Lepisosteus oculatus: one gene and its partner. The protein of the gene in region 2 binds, or shares a complex with, the protein of the main gene of each other region. Links are inferred from orthologs where the notes say so. Each region holds a gene or a part of one and is shown on either strand. Other genes may lie near its edges.

What was found.
Region 1: the proteins of mchr2a (region 2) and pmch are in contact, whole or in part, in a cryo-EM structure (PDB 8WST), measured with the Homo sapiens proteins. The link is inferred for Lepisosteus oculatus from reciprocal best matches to the Homo sapiens genes MCHR2 and PMCH. Residues at the interface, in NP_001035269.1 of Homo sapiens: His82, Gln92, Trp93, Gly96, Gly97, Thr110, Asp113, Gln117, Ile175, Phe177, Val181, Ser183, Cys184, Ala185, Phe186, Leu188, Thr189, Ser190, Pro191, Val194, Tyr197, Thr198, Tyr267, Gln271, Asn274, Met277, Glu278, Gln279, Pro280, Phe284; in NP_002665.2 of Homo sapiens: Leu151, Arg152, Cys153, Met154, Leu155, Gly156, Arg157, Val158, Tyr159, Arg160, Pro161, Cys162, Trp163.

The regions. Positions count from the first base shown.
Region 1 is NC_090702.1:54,817,961-54,824,139, forward strand, and holds pmch (pro-MCH), read left to right. Parts: upstream 1-4,384; 5' UTR 4,385-4,449; coding exon 4,450-4,698; intron 4,699-5,019; coding exon 5,020-5,224; intron 5,225-5,431; coding exon 5,432-5,481; 3' UTR 5,482-5,653; downstream 5,654-6,179. UniProt on the Homo sapiens protein: MCH may act as a neurotransmitter or neuromodulator in a broad array of neuronal functions directed toward the regulation of goal-directed behavior, such as food intake, and general arousal. May also have a role in spermatocyte differentiation.
Region 2 is NC_090697.1:31,637,166-31,644,233, reverse strand, and holds the start of mchr2a (melanin-concentrating hormone receptor 2), read right to left. Parts: upstream 3,006-7,068; 5' UTR 2,853-3,005; intron 1,978-2,852; 5' UTR 1,957-1,977; coding exon 1,772-1,956; intron 1,396-1,771; coding exon 1,186-1,395; intron 1-1,185. UniProt on the Homo sapiens protein: Receptor for melanin-concentrating hormone, coupled to G proteins that activate phosphoinositide hydrolysis.

The DNA of each region.
Region 1 (6,179 bases), on a different chromosome or scaffold from region 2:
TAGCAGAAAACGAATTAAAACCATGTGATAATGTAACTGTAGGCTTTGTGCGCTGGTGGTTAAACGCTCTGCCTGGACAGTTGGGAACTGGATAGAGACGGATATTCCCTGTGCAGTTTATTGCTGAACAGCCATATTTACACCTCCTGCGTTCTTCCCTTCTCTGTTCCTGATATCCTCTCTTTCCCAGGCACGTTTTCCCCACAACGAATCAGAACAGGACCTAAGCTTACAATAATGATCACATATACCCTTCACCGATAATCTAATCAACTCACACCACCATCTAATCTATTTACAACGATTAGAGGCTGTTTTGCGCCTCTAGTGGCAGGACAGCTGTAACAACAGCCTCCTCTTAGGCCAGCTGGCCTCCCACAGCCGTCACGAAATGTTATTCGAGTTAAATATTGTGAACCAGATACTAAGGTTGACAAAAAAAAAAAGCAAAAAAATGTTTTTGGGTCATAAGAGAGTTCAAATTAGATGACCGATGTAAGAAAAGTATTTTTCTTTTTACAGAATGCAGTGCAATATATGTTTACTGCCCCAACTGTACGCTTTTCAAGATGTCATTATACACTTATAATACACTATATAATTTTGTGTTGGACTCAGGGCAAAGATCACAGCCATATCATATACTGAGGGCAAAGGTCATAGCCATTTGGTGGAGTTAGATATGCGGATGTATTTTAATGACTTCTCCTGCACTATTGATTTTTCTTCTGGGTCTGATGCCCTTAAGAAAGGATCCCTTTTGTTTCATGAAAAACGTCTAACAATGTCATCACACTGTTCTTCAGGCAGCTCACCAGTTTCGTAGACTACAAAATACTCAAATAGGAACAAGAACTTCAAGACAAATACTACACTTTTCATTCATTCTGTATCTCCTGTATCAGGGGCCTCCAGGACAAATGAATGTAAGCAGTTCCTGTGACATTAAACAAACATTAGTTAAAGGCCTGGAGATTCACATTCCCATGTATTTCTGACGGTACGAAAAGCAGAAATGAAAGAAAAAAAAAGACATCTAAAGAAGGCTGCAGTCTTGTCCATTTGGAGAGGAGAGGAAACTGACACAGGAGAGAGAGGTTAGAACAACAAATTGAGAAGTAGAGAGGTTCACATCCAGTTACTGGAACACACTACTCCCAAAAGGCCAGTTCAGTCCTTCAATAGAGCCCATCGCCCTCCAACACAAATATGGACAAAATAAAGGCACTGGTATCCAAGTAAAATTACTTCAGCTGAGTTAAATGATTATTATTCATGTAATATTTCTCTTTCTCGATGCTATAGCTTCTGTGATGGTAATAAGGTAAGTCTCTGTTGTTTTCTTTAGAACAAGAGAGTCTGGGGGAGCTGGAAAGCTGTGTCAATACTTTTTTATTTTCTCAGATAAAAAAAAAAAGCATTTCAACTCATTCATCTCCATAATTGATATCCATAGTTAGAATAAGTGCAGTGCCCGCAGGAGAGGTGAATATCAGACAGTACAGTACAGCTACCACTCTGGTCCTGACAGCCTTACAGATTTCTCTCAGCCACCTTCCTCAACGAGGCACACATCAGTGAGTCTCGCCCGATATGGAAGCTACTTTGAAAGCCTGTATAGTTTTCTATCTCATGTCTGAGGATCACAAATTCTGTCACCGAAGATTCTTTGCATCAGATGATCCAATTGAATTATGGGCGTATTGGATCGCTCAGCCAGCAGCCATTTCACCCTGCAGCTCGCCCACTGGAGCTCAGCAGGGCTGAGCCTGGACAGCACACTCACCCTGTGGTCTATGGGAGTTTTAATGCCCAGGGTGTACCCGGCCTTGTGCTCGTTGCTTGCCGGGTAGGCTCCGGCTTCCCGCGAAACCGTACGGTATAAAGCAGTTCGGTAAATGACATGACATGGATCGTTCAGTGAGCATTTGGCAATTACTGCACGATTGTTGTAATGCCCAGTGTAGTGCTCTGTGCTGTGTATTCAGCACTGAGCTCATGTTGGCAGGAAGCCCAGGTGCCTTCATCCCAGTCCTGAGCTCTTACAAGTGTGTCTGCTACAGCTGGGGATGCTGGGAAGACTAGACACCAGTGGCACCCCAGCGGGAGATACCCATCATGCCAGGGTGGCGATGTGTGACTGCTGTGGTCTCCATCAGGCTGTCCGTCACAGGCTGACCCAGTCTGTGAATCACAACTGCAGCCAGGATACTGTCCACCCATCTACGTCAATGCCTCAGCATCCCAACGTCACAACATTTTGACTCAGCCCAGCCCAGCCTGCTCATTAGAGCACTGGCTTTTTGTCCTCAGAGGCCAGTGCATACACACAGCTGCAGTAATAAGCAATCATCCTACTCGCATCTATATTTGCGGGTCTTAAAACTATTCTGCCAAGTGTGGGGTGTCACAGATATGCAAGTGTCCAAGTTGAGTTTATACGTTTAGCAAACTGATTATTTGGAAATGAAATGTATGGATAAGCTGTGAACACATGGCTCTTTTGTTGTGTTTATGAGTCCTGCTGAAAGGATGTGTTTGCTCTCGAAATGTAAATGGAGTTCGTCAGGAGTGTGCGGGAGGAATGGAGGCAACCAAACCCCCCTTCCTCTCCGCTGCGCTAACTTGTAATCCCGCATGACGTCACTTCCTGACATGCTATAGAAATGACAGCAGCCCCCTCCGCTGGTGCTGCTCTCCCCCACAGCTCATTTCACTCTGCAGGGGCTCCTACCCTCCTCGTCCTATGGGGGCCGAGTCTCGCCCAAGCGCGTCGAGCCAAAACTCTCCACGCCTAACCTGTCCAATAAACACGCAGGACGCGGTTTCCAATTGGGCGCCGTTATTCTTCGGATATCGGAATCTACGTTTGGGGGTCGGGGGGGGGGGGACTGTAAAACATAATTTGTTCACACAAAGGGAAACTGAACTGCGACGCATGAGCACCTGCAAAGCTGAAGCTGGCAGCGTGAGAGGGCTGGGGTGTAATTGGAAATACAGGGCAGTCCAGGTTCTGGAAGACTGGTCTACGCCAACGCCAGCCCAGCTCATTATTGCAAGAATGGCTTAAGGGACTTAAACCTGCAGACCTAAACCTGGCTCTCTAAGACTGGGATTGCTTGTCCCTGGCCTAGATCTCTGTGATGATCACTTCAGTTCTTCCATGTGCTGCTTGGATAGCAAATATATCCAGCCAGCCCCCAGTCCTACCTTCCAGTCCTGGAGGGTCAGTGTGTCTGTAGCAGGGCTGTCCAGTCCCGGTCCTGGAGGGTCAGTGTGTCTGTAGCAGGGCTGTCCAGTCCCGGTCCTGGAGGGGTCAGTGTGTCTGTAGCAGGGCTGTCCAGTCCCGGTCCTGGAGGGTCAGTGTCTGTAGCAGGGCCGTCCAGTCCCGGTCCTAGAGGGTCAGTGTGTCTGTAGCAGGGCTGTCCAGTCCCGGTCCTGGAGGGTCAGTGTGTCTGTAGCAGGGCTGTCCAGTCCCGGTCCTGGAGGGTCAGCGTGTCTGTAGGTTTTCATTTCAACTCTAAAGAAACCAAAAAAGCCAAACTAGTTGGCTACTGGCTTCTGGACCCATAGAGCAGCTTCTTCCAGCCCTTCAGGTGCCACTGTTTTAAACAGACCAGACCAGTGTGGGCACCCCTGCTCTATGTGAACTCATGGAAGACAGCCATCATCACTAACAGTTAATGAGATGTGTCCTGCTATCACAAAGAACACAACCCCAGCCTTTGGCCTTCATGTTTGAAAAACAGAGAACGGAGATCGCATGACTACAGCCAGTCTTGTGATTGCAGAAAACATCCTCATGGCAAACACAAACCTAAAGTTTGTGATGAAGACTCCAAATGTTTCCTTCATCGGCAAACCAATGCATTGCCAACAGGGCAATTTTTTTCCAACTTCTTTTCTTTCTGAAAATGAAATGCCACATCAAAGCAAGGTGGCAGAACCATCAGGAGGCACACTGCACACTTCAGTGTCGGTGAGGGAAGCGGGTTTAAGAGATACAGCACACTTACTGCGACTTTCTTCTTGCAGAAGAAAAGAAGTCTATAGTCCAACCTTTCTTTCATTCCTCACCAGCTGATTAATTCAATCAGAAAAAACACTTCAAAGATAATCTTTAAAATTAGATTGCCCAGTGTACTGACTACTACAATACCACCCCACTGTGTAATTCTCATTGATTCGCAGACAACTTCAACCACCTTTCTGTGAAGCTTAACTTATTTTTACCAGGATGAAAACAAACCTCATTCAGGGGTCTCGCACCTTTAATCATATCTGACTCACAAAAAGGCTGTTCAAAGTTAGACGTCACCTTATTTCCACTTCTCTTCTCCTGCCACCATATATAAAGGGATGGACAAACCTGTGGGATGCAGTCAGTCAGGGAAAGCAATTGATTAGTTGGGTTTCTATGCGAACCTGTTGAACCTGAATCAAGTCAGAATGAGTTTCTCGGCATACTCCATTTTACTGGCGGTGGTGCTACTTTTTGAATGCCACACAGACTCAATAGCAGTATCTGCTGCCAAGATCGAGGACTCCAGAATGCTGAACGATGCCTTCAGCCACGAGCCGTTCCTGAATGAAGAGGTGGTTGATAAGGGCATCAGCACCGTGCCATCAAACCGCTACCTGGCCCCAGAAGGCACCGTGGGAAACGAAGGGGGAAACTCAAAGATCTTCATTTTCACAGTAAGTCTCTCCTTGCTCTGCCGAACAGCAGGCAGATTTATTTTAGCATTTCGTCCTATGATAGGAACAGATGTTTCACTTTGTCAAATGCTCAAAATGTCTACCACTCTACTAAGAATATCACAAACATGAGGCATGGTAACTGTGTATCAAAACCAGTCACCTGCAGCCGCTGTAGAAAAGAGAAAATTTTATTTTCTTATATTTTATATATATATACTGTATGTATGTATGCTTTCTGCCAGAACAGTTTCCCAGCTCACACCGTCTTACAGGCTGTAGCCTTCATTTCTAAGTCTTTTTGACCTTGACCGCGAACAGGACTTCGGCATGAAAAAGAACTACAGAGGTCTCTACAGACCTGCCCTGTCCATGGATCTGCCGGCCAGACAGCTGCCCTACTACACCGTCAGAGAGCTGGATGCAGAGCAGCCAGAGAAAGTCCAGGCCTTTGTGAAAGAGGAACGCAGGGACACCGAATCAGACCTGAGCTCCAGCATTCCAGTGGGCAGAAGAGACTTTGACAGTAAGCTTGTGCCAATACTTCTCCTGCTCACAGAACTTTAACATGTACATTGTTGTGATTTATTAGACCTATGAAAATGTTGTTATCTCCATTTTAAATGTAAAGACTATTTTATTTTTTAGCACAAAGAGAAAAAAATAGATGCTGGCGATTGCCCTTGCACATGGGTATTGATGATCAAGTCCCGTCTCTCTGGTTTTCTTCTAGTGCTCAGATGCATGCTGGGAAGAGTATACCGGCCATGCTGGCAGGTGTGAGAGCCGAGGGCCAAGAGCACCCCAGCACTGCCCATGCTCCACCCGTGTCCCACCACGCTGCATTGCTCGTTACGCTCAAACTGTTTTATTATTGCAATACACTGGAAAATGTATAAAATGTTTATTAAAATGATCTGAGAACCTGAATAAAAAAATGTTGCAAGCCTGAGAATCTGAACGTGTGACATGTATACCTTCCAGTTCATTCAGAACAAGGGTTACAGGTGAGAGGGGACCACTCGACTCCTCCAAGTCATTTGGTCATGATAACCAAAACAAAAAGGACAAACGCACAAACTGGAGCACGAAGCTGAGTTTTATATGTATGTTTTCCTTCACTTTTTATTTACATTTCTCCTTCTACCATAAAGGCAGTATACATAAAAAAACAATGAGAAGGTTAAAAAAAGAGAGCAGATGGATATGACATCTCTAAGGAAAGATTTTGCTTGCCAATGCTAGCCCAAAATACAAATCCAAGTCATGATGTGGACTCATTTCTGGGTTAATTCCACCCGAGACAGAAATGTGAACTGAAAAAGAAGTCAGCGCATTTAAACCCTCCTGAATCCTAATGAGAAGTTCGGTAACCAACCTGGGAGAATATGAATCAGGGTGCACAACATTATCCCTTTGAAAACAGATTAGCAATCGCGATGTCTGGGGTTGGTCCCGTCAGTCCACTGGGGCTGAGGCAT
Region 2 (7,068 bases):
TATCTGTCTGTGGAAGTCTGTGCCTTATTTCTTTTCCTTGCCACAATGCCAGGAAAACAAATCAAATGATCCACTTAGTTTTAACTCCATACCACAGGAGTCATGCTATGTAGTATTTTTTAACATTTATATTTAAGCAAACACCCTGCACTGTACCTATTTAATTAATTACAATCGGAGTTGGAACGTGCCTAATTTTGTAACAATATGAAAACAGGAGTATCTTTTTCAGATAAAGCTGGATTTTAAATGCCTTGTTTCTAAATTTAACCAGTGACAGTAAAGTAAGATCTAGTATTTGACCACAACTAGACACTTAAAATAAAGATGAACAATTTCATTTGAAATAACTTAAAATAAAGACGGAAAATTTCCTGATGTTTATTTACCTGCCATGCTATTTTGAGTGTTAGACAACAATTATAAATTAAAACATTAGTTTTAAAACAAACCTCCATAGCTTTTTCCTTCTCAAGAACATCTTCTAATCTTGCAATATAAGACTTTTTGCAGCATTATAAGTTATATACAGTATGTCACGCTGCAGACCACAGTATTCCCATGAGTGATCACATTCCTCCAGGGGCTCCTATTCGAATACATACCGACCATCTGTCTATTTGTCCCTCCCCGATCAATCAGAAACACAATTTTCCAATGAATCAAACACAGCCCTTTCTATAAAACCCTTGAAACGCCACTGGAAAGGTGCTCTGTCATTGAATTAGCTGAGCCAGTGCAACGCCCTACTCTGCTCCAGTAGATGTGCTAACCAACGAACCAAGAAACCCGGACCTTGAGACCTGAGACCCAAACCCTGCTTGCAGCCTGTTCAGCCAGCACCTTTACTGTGACATCTTTCCCTGCCTATTTTTGTGTAGTTCCAGTTCCTGTTCATCTTCTCCCAGTCAGCCATTCCCAGTATCTCCTCAGCTAACTCCGGCAGCTGCTGCAAATCACCAAGTACCTGCAATTGGATTCCCTGCCCATCTGTGAGACGTGGCTGTCAGCAACAGCAAGCCAGGTCCTCGTTTTATAAGGTAATTATTAGATAGTGCTCCACTGAACAGATTCAAGATAGTAAAGTCAAATTCATGGAAACCTATATTTAGGAAAGTTAAAGGCAGAATGCTTTCAAGTGTTTCAGAGTCCTGAATCGATTAATATGTCAAATTAATTTCTTACCTGTCCAAGCTCATAGCTGTCATGATTGCACTGCATGTCATCTGGTTGCAGGTGTCTAGTGATGTAATAATTGTGCACAGAGCACTGCCAAACACCCACTGTCCTCCACGTGCCCACTGGTGAATCAAGAAGGGCATCACTACCACATGAACAAGATCGGCCACTGCCAGGTTACAGATGTACACATCTGGGATTGTCTTTTTTGTTGACCTGAATGAACCACAGATAAATAACGATTAGAAACTATTACAGTAAATGCGGACAGTCATCAGCAGCCTCTAAAAAAATCAGATTTCTCCCCACAACATCAAGCACTAACATATACTGTACAACTGCAACTATGCATATAACAGTAAACTGAAGGATGTTGCACTGGCATTTCATCGGACAGTAACTGGGTCATTTCTGGAACAGAAGCTCTCTTGATGTATATGAGAAGAATTGATAGTCTTTTCATAGAGAGTAATACAGTATATGTATAGTTTCTGAATTGTATTTCTATGTCTGATAATTGAGAAATGCATCAATTGCATCAATTCTACATACTGATGTAGAATGCCAGGTTTCTGAGTATTGCTTTCCATACCTTGTGATTGTGACCAAGATGAAAATGTTTCCAACTAGTCCAGCACAACATATCACTCCAATGAAGGAAGGCAGAACTATGGTCTCTGCAGCATGATGAAAGTCATAGCCACCCACTCCAGTCTGCCAAGCACTGTCCAAGCTTTTGTTCGAGTTGTTCCAGCATGGGCTGTCAAACTCATTCATTTTTCATAAAGATATAATTGTCTTTTAAATAGAAAAAGAAATAAAGTATGACAACAAAATAACAATATTGAAATAATAACAATCACCGGAAAACATACAGTATGCCAGATTCATTAATCTGTCATGAATCCTGTCACGAAACCTGTCATATTCTACTATGGCATGATTTTCATCTTTAGGGTTTCAAGTTTGCCATTTCTTTCATTCTAAAATGAGGTATAGTAAATGAGATAAATATTTCCAAGTGATGATGAACAAATTAAGAAAGGTCCATACAGAGATTCAAAGACACAAAATAGCCTTTATAGAAATGTCTGCTAAGGTGAGCTACATGTATATTCCTAATTTTGGAAAAACAGGGCAATCTTTACATCAACTGCTGCTGTTAGCGATGCGGAATTCGGTAGGTGTTTAACCCTTTGAGCCACAGGCCAGATCGATTTTCTTTTTTTGTGTGCAGAATAACAAGAAGTTATTGTATATTGTATAACTGGAATACCTATAATGAAATAAACCGAACATAGAAAATATTAAACTGATCTCAATCATCATAAGATACACCCCCGCAAATTAAACCAACACACAGTAGATTAAACATACAGTGCTTATATTAAATTAATTAAACGCGAGTCGAAATTTGAATATGCACTACCATTATTTTTAAAATAGTTGTTATACAGTACGTCCCGTATACAGACCACAGATTTTTTACTACTATGTGTACTTCATCTACAGTATACTGTACGTTGTCCGCACCAAACCTTTATAAGGTCTTCATGGAGGACAGCTCCACTTTGTGGAAAGTTTAAATTGCATTGCTTATCTTATTTACGTTATTAATTCTGCTCAATTTGTCGCACACAATGCTAAGATTAAGAAAAGCTATGTCAACTCACCGAAAGCCTAAAATGTTTAACAGGTCTCAGTCGTCTTCTGCACCTTTTTGGTATTTGAACAGCCAGGAGAGTTTGAAAAGCAGAAAAGACGCGCACGAAAACGTATTGTCCTATTCTAACGCACATCGATAATATATTTTGTTGCAGTCGGTTAAGTTCTTTTAAAGAGTGATAAAGCGGCTACCGGTTATCGCCACAGTAATGTTCATCTATCTGAACCCTGTAACGTCAGTGTTTGGACAGACGTGTGCATCAGAATCAATTGGGTGACAAGGTTATTCCTACTGCAGTACGTCCTTTATACAATAGGTGAGCGGTATCACTCAAATGTGTTATTCTAAAATGTATCACGCAGTGTCGTTATCGATCTGTTGTAGACTATCCCGTTGGTTTAAATGTTATCAGTAATGTTTACTTAATAAACACGAATTGAGAAACAAAAACGACAAAAGTACGAACTCACCAGTTACTCAAGTGATGACTGAATCGCTTTAGGTGGATAGATCGCATTGGTTTTCTGATCCTACTGAAGTGCTCCTACTTCGTGTTGGATATGTTACTAACCAATGCTGTGTAATTTTCCTCTTCTTAACATGATCAATTCGACACAATGTGCGTAGCATGGCATTTTAAAGAAAATTGTACTATTGGAGGTCTAGAAAAATTAATTACTTTAACCTGAAGATTTCCTTTTTGCACCTTTCTCCATAAAATATTTTCAATATTTTTCTCTTACTAATAGCGCAGAAACAGGTCTTGTAGTTAAAATTCCCCAATCTGCAGCAAACTAATAGTCTAAATTGCAGTGTGGTCTCTGATAGTTATGCTGTACACTGTAGGGAGAGCACGTAGAGCCTCTGGAGAAAAACCTGTTTTAACAATAAAACGGGAGAAAGCAGAGGATCTTTTCACTTAAGAGATATATGATATTTTTGTGTAATGTAATGGCATGGGAAATGTTCTTCCTTATTTTGTAGACAACACATACAGTATATACAAAAATGGCCAAATGCAAAGAATAAATTACATTCGTTCTGCTTCAGGAGTACGCTATGGAAAAACGGATATCTGACGCTTCTTATTTATATATTTTTACTTTTGTAGTCTTTTTCAGTAGTACAGTATGTATTGTAATACAGCACTTAATCCCATTTTCTATAATCGCTAGATTGTGCATTGGTTTGCTTACTTTTTTACTAAACAATTTCTGTACCACTCTACAATTTCCAGTTTTCTTCGGAGTTCAGTACTGTTTTCAGCGAAATTAATTTTAAATAAAGACGTCAATTTGGATGGATAGATGGATCAGGGTTCAGTATTGGTTTTGTCTATGATCTGTTTAAAATCAGAAGAAGGTGGTTACCTACTGCCCTACTACTTCTATATTATTTTATTCTAGGTAAGGTAGCAACTGTGTACAGTACTTAATCAAGCCTTACAGTATGTAACGCATACGGCCCCTGCGCTGTGGCGAGATCTTTGGCTCACCGGGCTGAGTGACGCGGGAGTCCCGGGTTTGAGCCCACGACGGTGCGGGACCGACCCACTGCGGTAAGGGCGCCCACCTGAACCCCCGTTGCGTTACACTTATCTATAACACATAGTAAAGCAAGACTATCTATGAACTCTGCAAATGGAAGATGACAAAAAAGGGATACTGTGCCATTTCCCCCCAAGTCTCTCTCTGTGATCTGAGTGTTTGCATGCATGTCCATGGATAATAAGCAATTTAATATGCTTATTTTTTCTCTGTCTTCATAATTTTCAAACGTTTTAGCTGTCTTTGTAGTCCTAGGAGAATTCCTCTGAAATCAGTGAATGAAATCGCGTGTTGAAGCTAAGGTACTGCTTTTGAATGCTTAATGAGTTAATTGTCTAGCACGATTTGTAACCTTGTGATTCCAGAAATACTTTATATGTATATTTATCCTGCAAGCAATACCTTTATTAACATTTCATATAATCAAATTCTTACATTTTGTATCAATATTAATTAAGAATAACAACGGAACATTAGACAGGTGTATTGTTCTGAGATCATCTGACCCTCTATAATTGCACACAGCCAGAGGCCATTTAACTAACTGTAAGACTTGTCAAAGTAATTGTGCACCAACCTAATTTCAGTTTGCCACAGAAAAGTAAGTGAATACCTTTACAGTCAGTACTGTCAGTAATGCCCAAACTTAGGTTAGTTAGTTGGACCCTATGCGTGGCCAGAGAGGCGGTTGAATGAAAATCCGAAACAAAGCAAAGGTATCCAGATCGTTTGTCAAGAGCGATGTCTAGGACACAAAGCTAAGGTCGAGAGAGAACTAGAAATCAGGATTGAAGGGTAGAGTAGCTCTAGCTGAGAAAAGTCTCAGTGGTGAGTGAGGACGGATTTAGGAGACAGGGTTTAAATAGGAAGGAGTGTGGTATCAATTAGTACATGAGTATGTGCAGTGCAGAGTGCGTGTGGGTATGTGGTGGTGCGATTTGTGACAAGTACATTTTCGTTTTTCATTGTTCATTGCAGATTTTGCTGAGATTTAATTTACACCTATACAAATTCAGTTTCAACATGCATGTTTTAATTAGAAAATGTATATGACATCATTGGAAGGGGCTGATTATTTTTAATAAAAATATTTTATAAATACCATTCAAAAGGTGCAGTGTTAGGAATACTGTCAGCCAAATGCAGATATCAATTGTAATGTACTAAATAATGAGATCCGAAACGTGTAAAAAAAGAAGAAGTTATTATGGGAGTGTTTTGTTTTCCTCACATAGACTGGGAAAACCTGAGCACTCCTGGAAAGTGAGTGGATTGTTCTGCCAGTTAGATCACTACATTGGTATCCTGATCTTGTATATGTTTTTGGAGGTCTTGGAATTATGGACTGAAACTGTGTTGTTGTTGTTTCTGTCAGCAGTGTTTCAGTCTCAGATAAATTGTCATTGTGGGTAGGTCTGGTGCCACAGTTGACCTTGTGATATCTTTAACACAATCAAATTTGGAGCATGCTGTCAGATTACTGTTCCTCTGATGCCTTTGTCAGAATCTTAACATCATCTCTATCTTTCAGCTGTGACAGGGATCTTGTACCATGTCTCAAATTGTACTTTTTTAGCTAATGGCAGAGGGACCCCATGTTTTTTGTAGCATTTGGCCGTCTTAACTCACAGTTCCTCATAGGTAGGGTCTTTAAGAAGCTCACTGCGGTTTTCGTCCAATGTGTTCTGCGCTGCAGGGAAGCTTTAAGCTATTTGGGCAAGATAGATGTTGGTGTGTTCTGCAGGAGCAGGGTCTATATCAGTGAAATTGTTGGAACATGGCATCCTTAACAGCATATTTGTCTGTGAATGATTTCCCAGTCAATGGTCAATGGTGTATGAGAATACCATGAGCCGCATTCTGAATCTTTGTAGTTGTAGTGGTAGATCAATCGAATGTTTAGTGCTTAGTTAGTTCCCAGGTGGCTTGTGGACTGTCTGAAGAAAGAAAAGAAGTCAGGCGAGGTAACACTGAATCTTCTGCATGGCCCCACAAGTGGTAAAGTCTCTTTCTGTATTTCTCAAAGAGCATATCACTGCTGTGTTGGAGTCAATGTTCTTGACACATACAGTACAAGGTGTGCTGCTGTTTTCCAAGTCCCATTGTTGTTTTGCATGAGGATACCACCTAAACCAATGGATGACGCATTTGCTGCAACTTTAGTCTCCTTGGAAGGGAACAAAATTCTAATGTTGGGGGTGAGATTAGTTTAAATTTTAATAATAATAAGTGCTCCTGAGGTACAGTATATCCCAAGTCCAAAGGTTTCTTTGTGAAAGAAGGTTATACTAAGGTTTAGTTTTCTCTGCTATATCACTAATTAACTTTCCAAGCTTACCGTGGCTTCCAATGCCATGAAAGCTGCACACTTCAGAAGCATTGGTAGGCTGTTGTATGTTCTGGATTCCAGCCAATTTATCTGGGTCTGGCTGAATGATTCATTTGCACCTGGAAAAGGTCAGGAGCAAATGAAATTCCTACAGGAGGTCTTTTGAAGGTCTGGTGCCCATAAAGTGTGATGAATGTTGTCAGCTTTGGAGACTCCTCTGTGAGGTGGACCTGCAAGAAACCTGAATTTGCCACGAGCTTGGTGAAGAGTTTAGCTCTTCCTATCATGTCCAATGTGTGGTCCACACATGGAGGGAGGAATTGTTCTTGTCTCATAGCCCTTTTCAG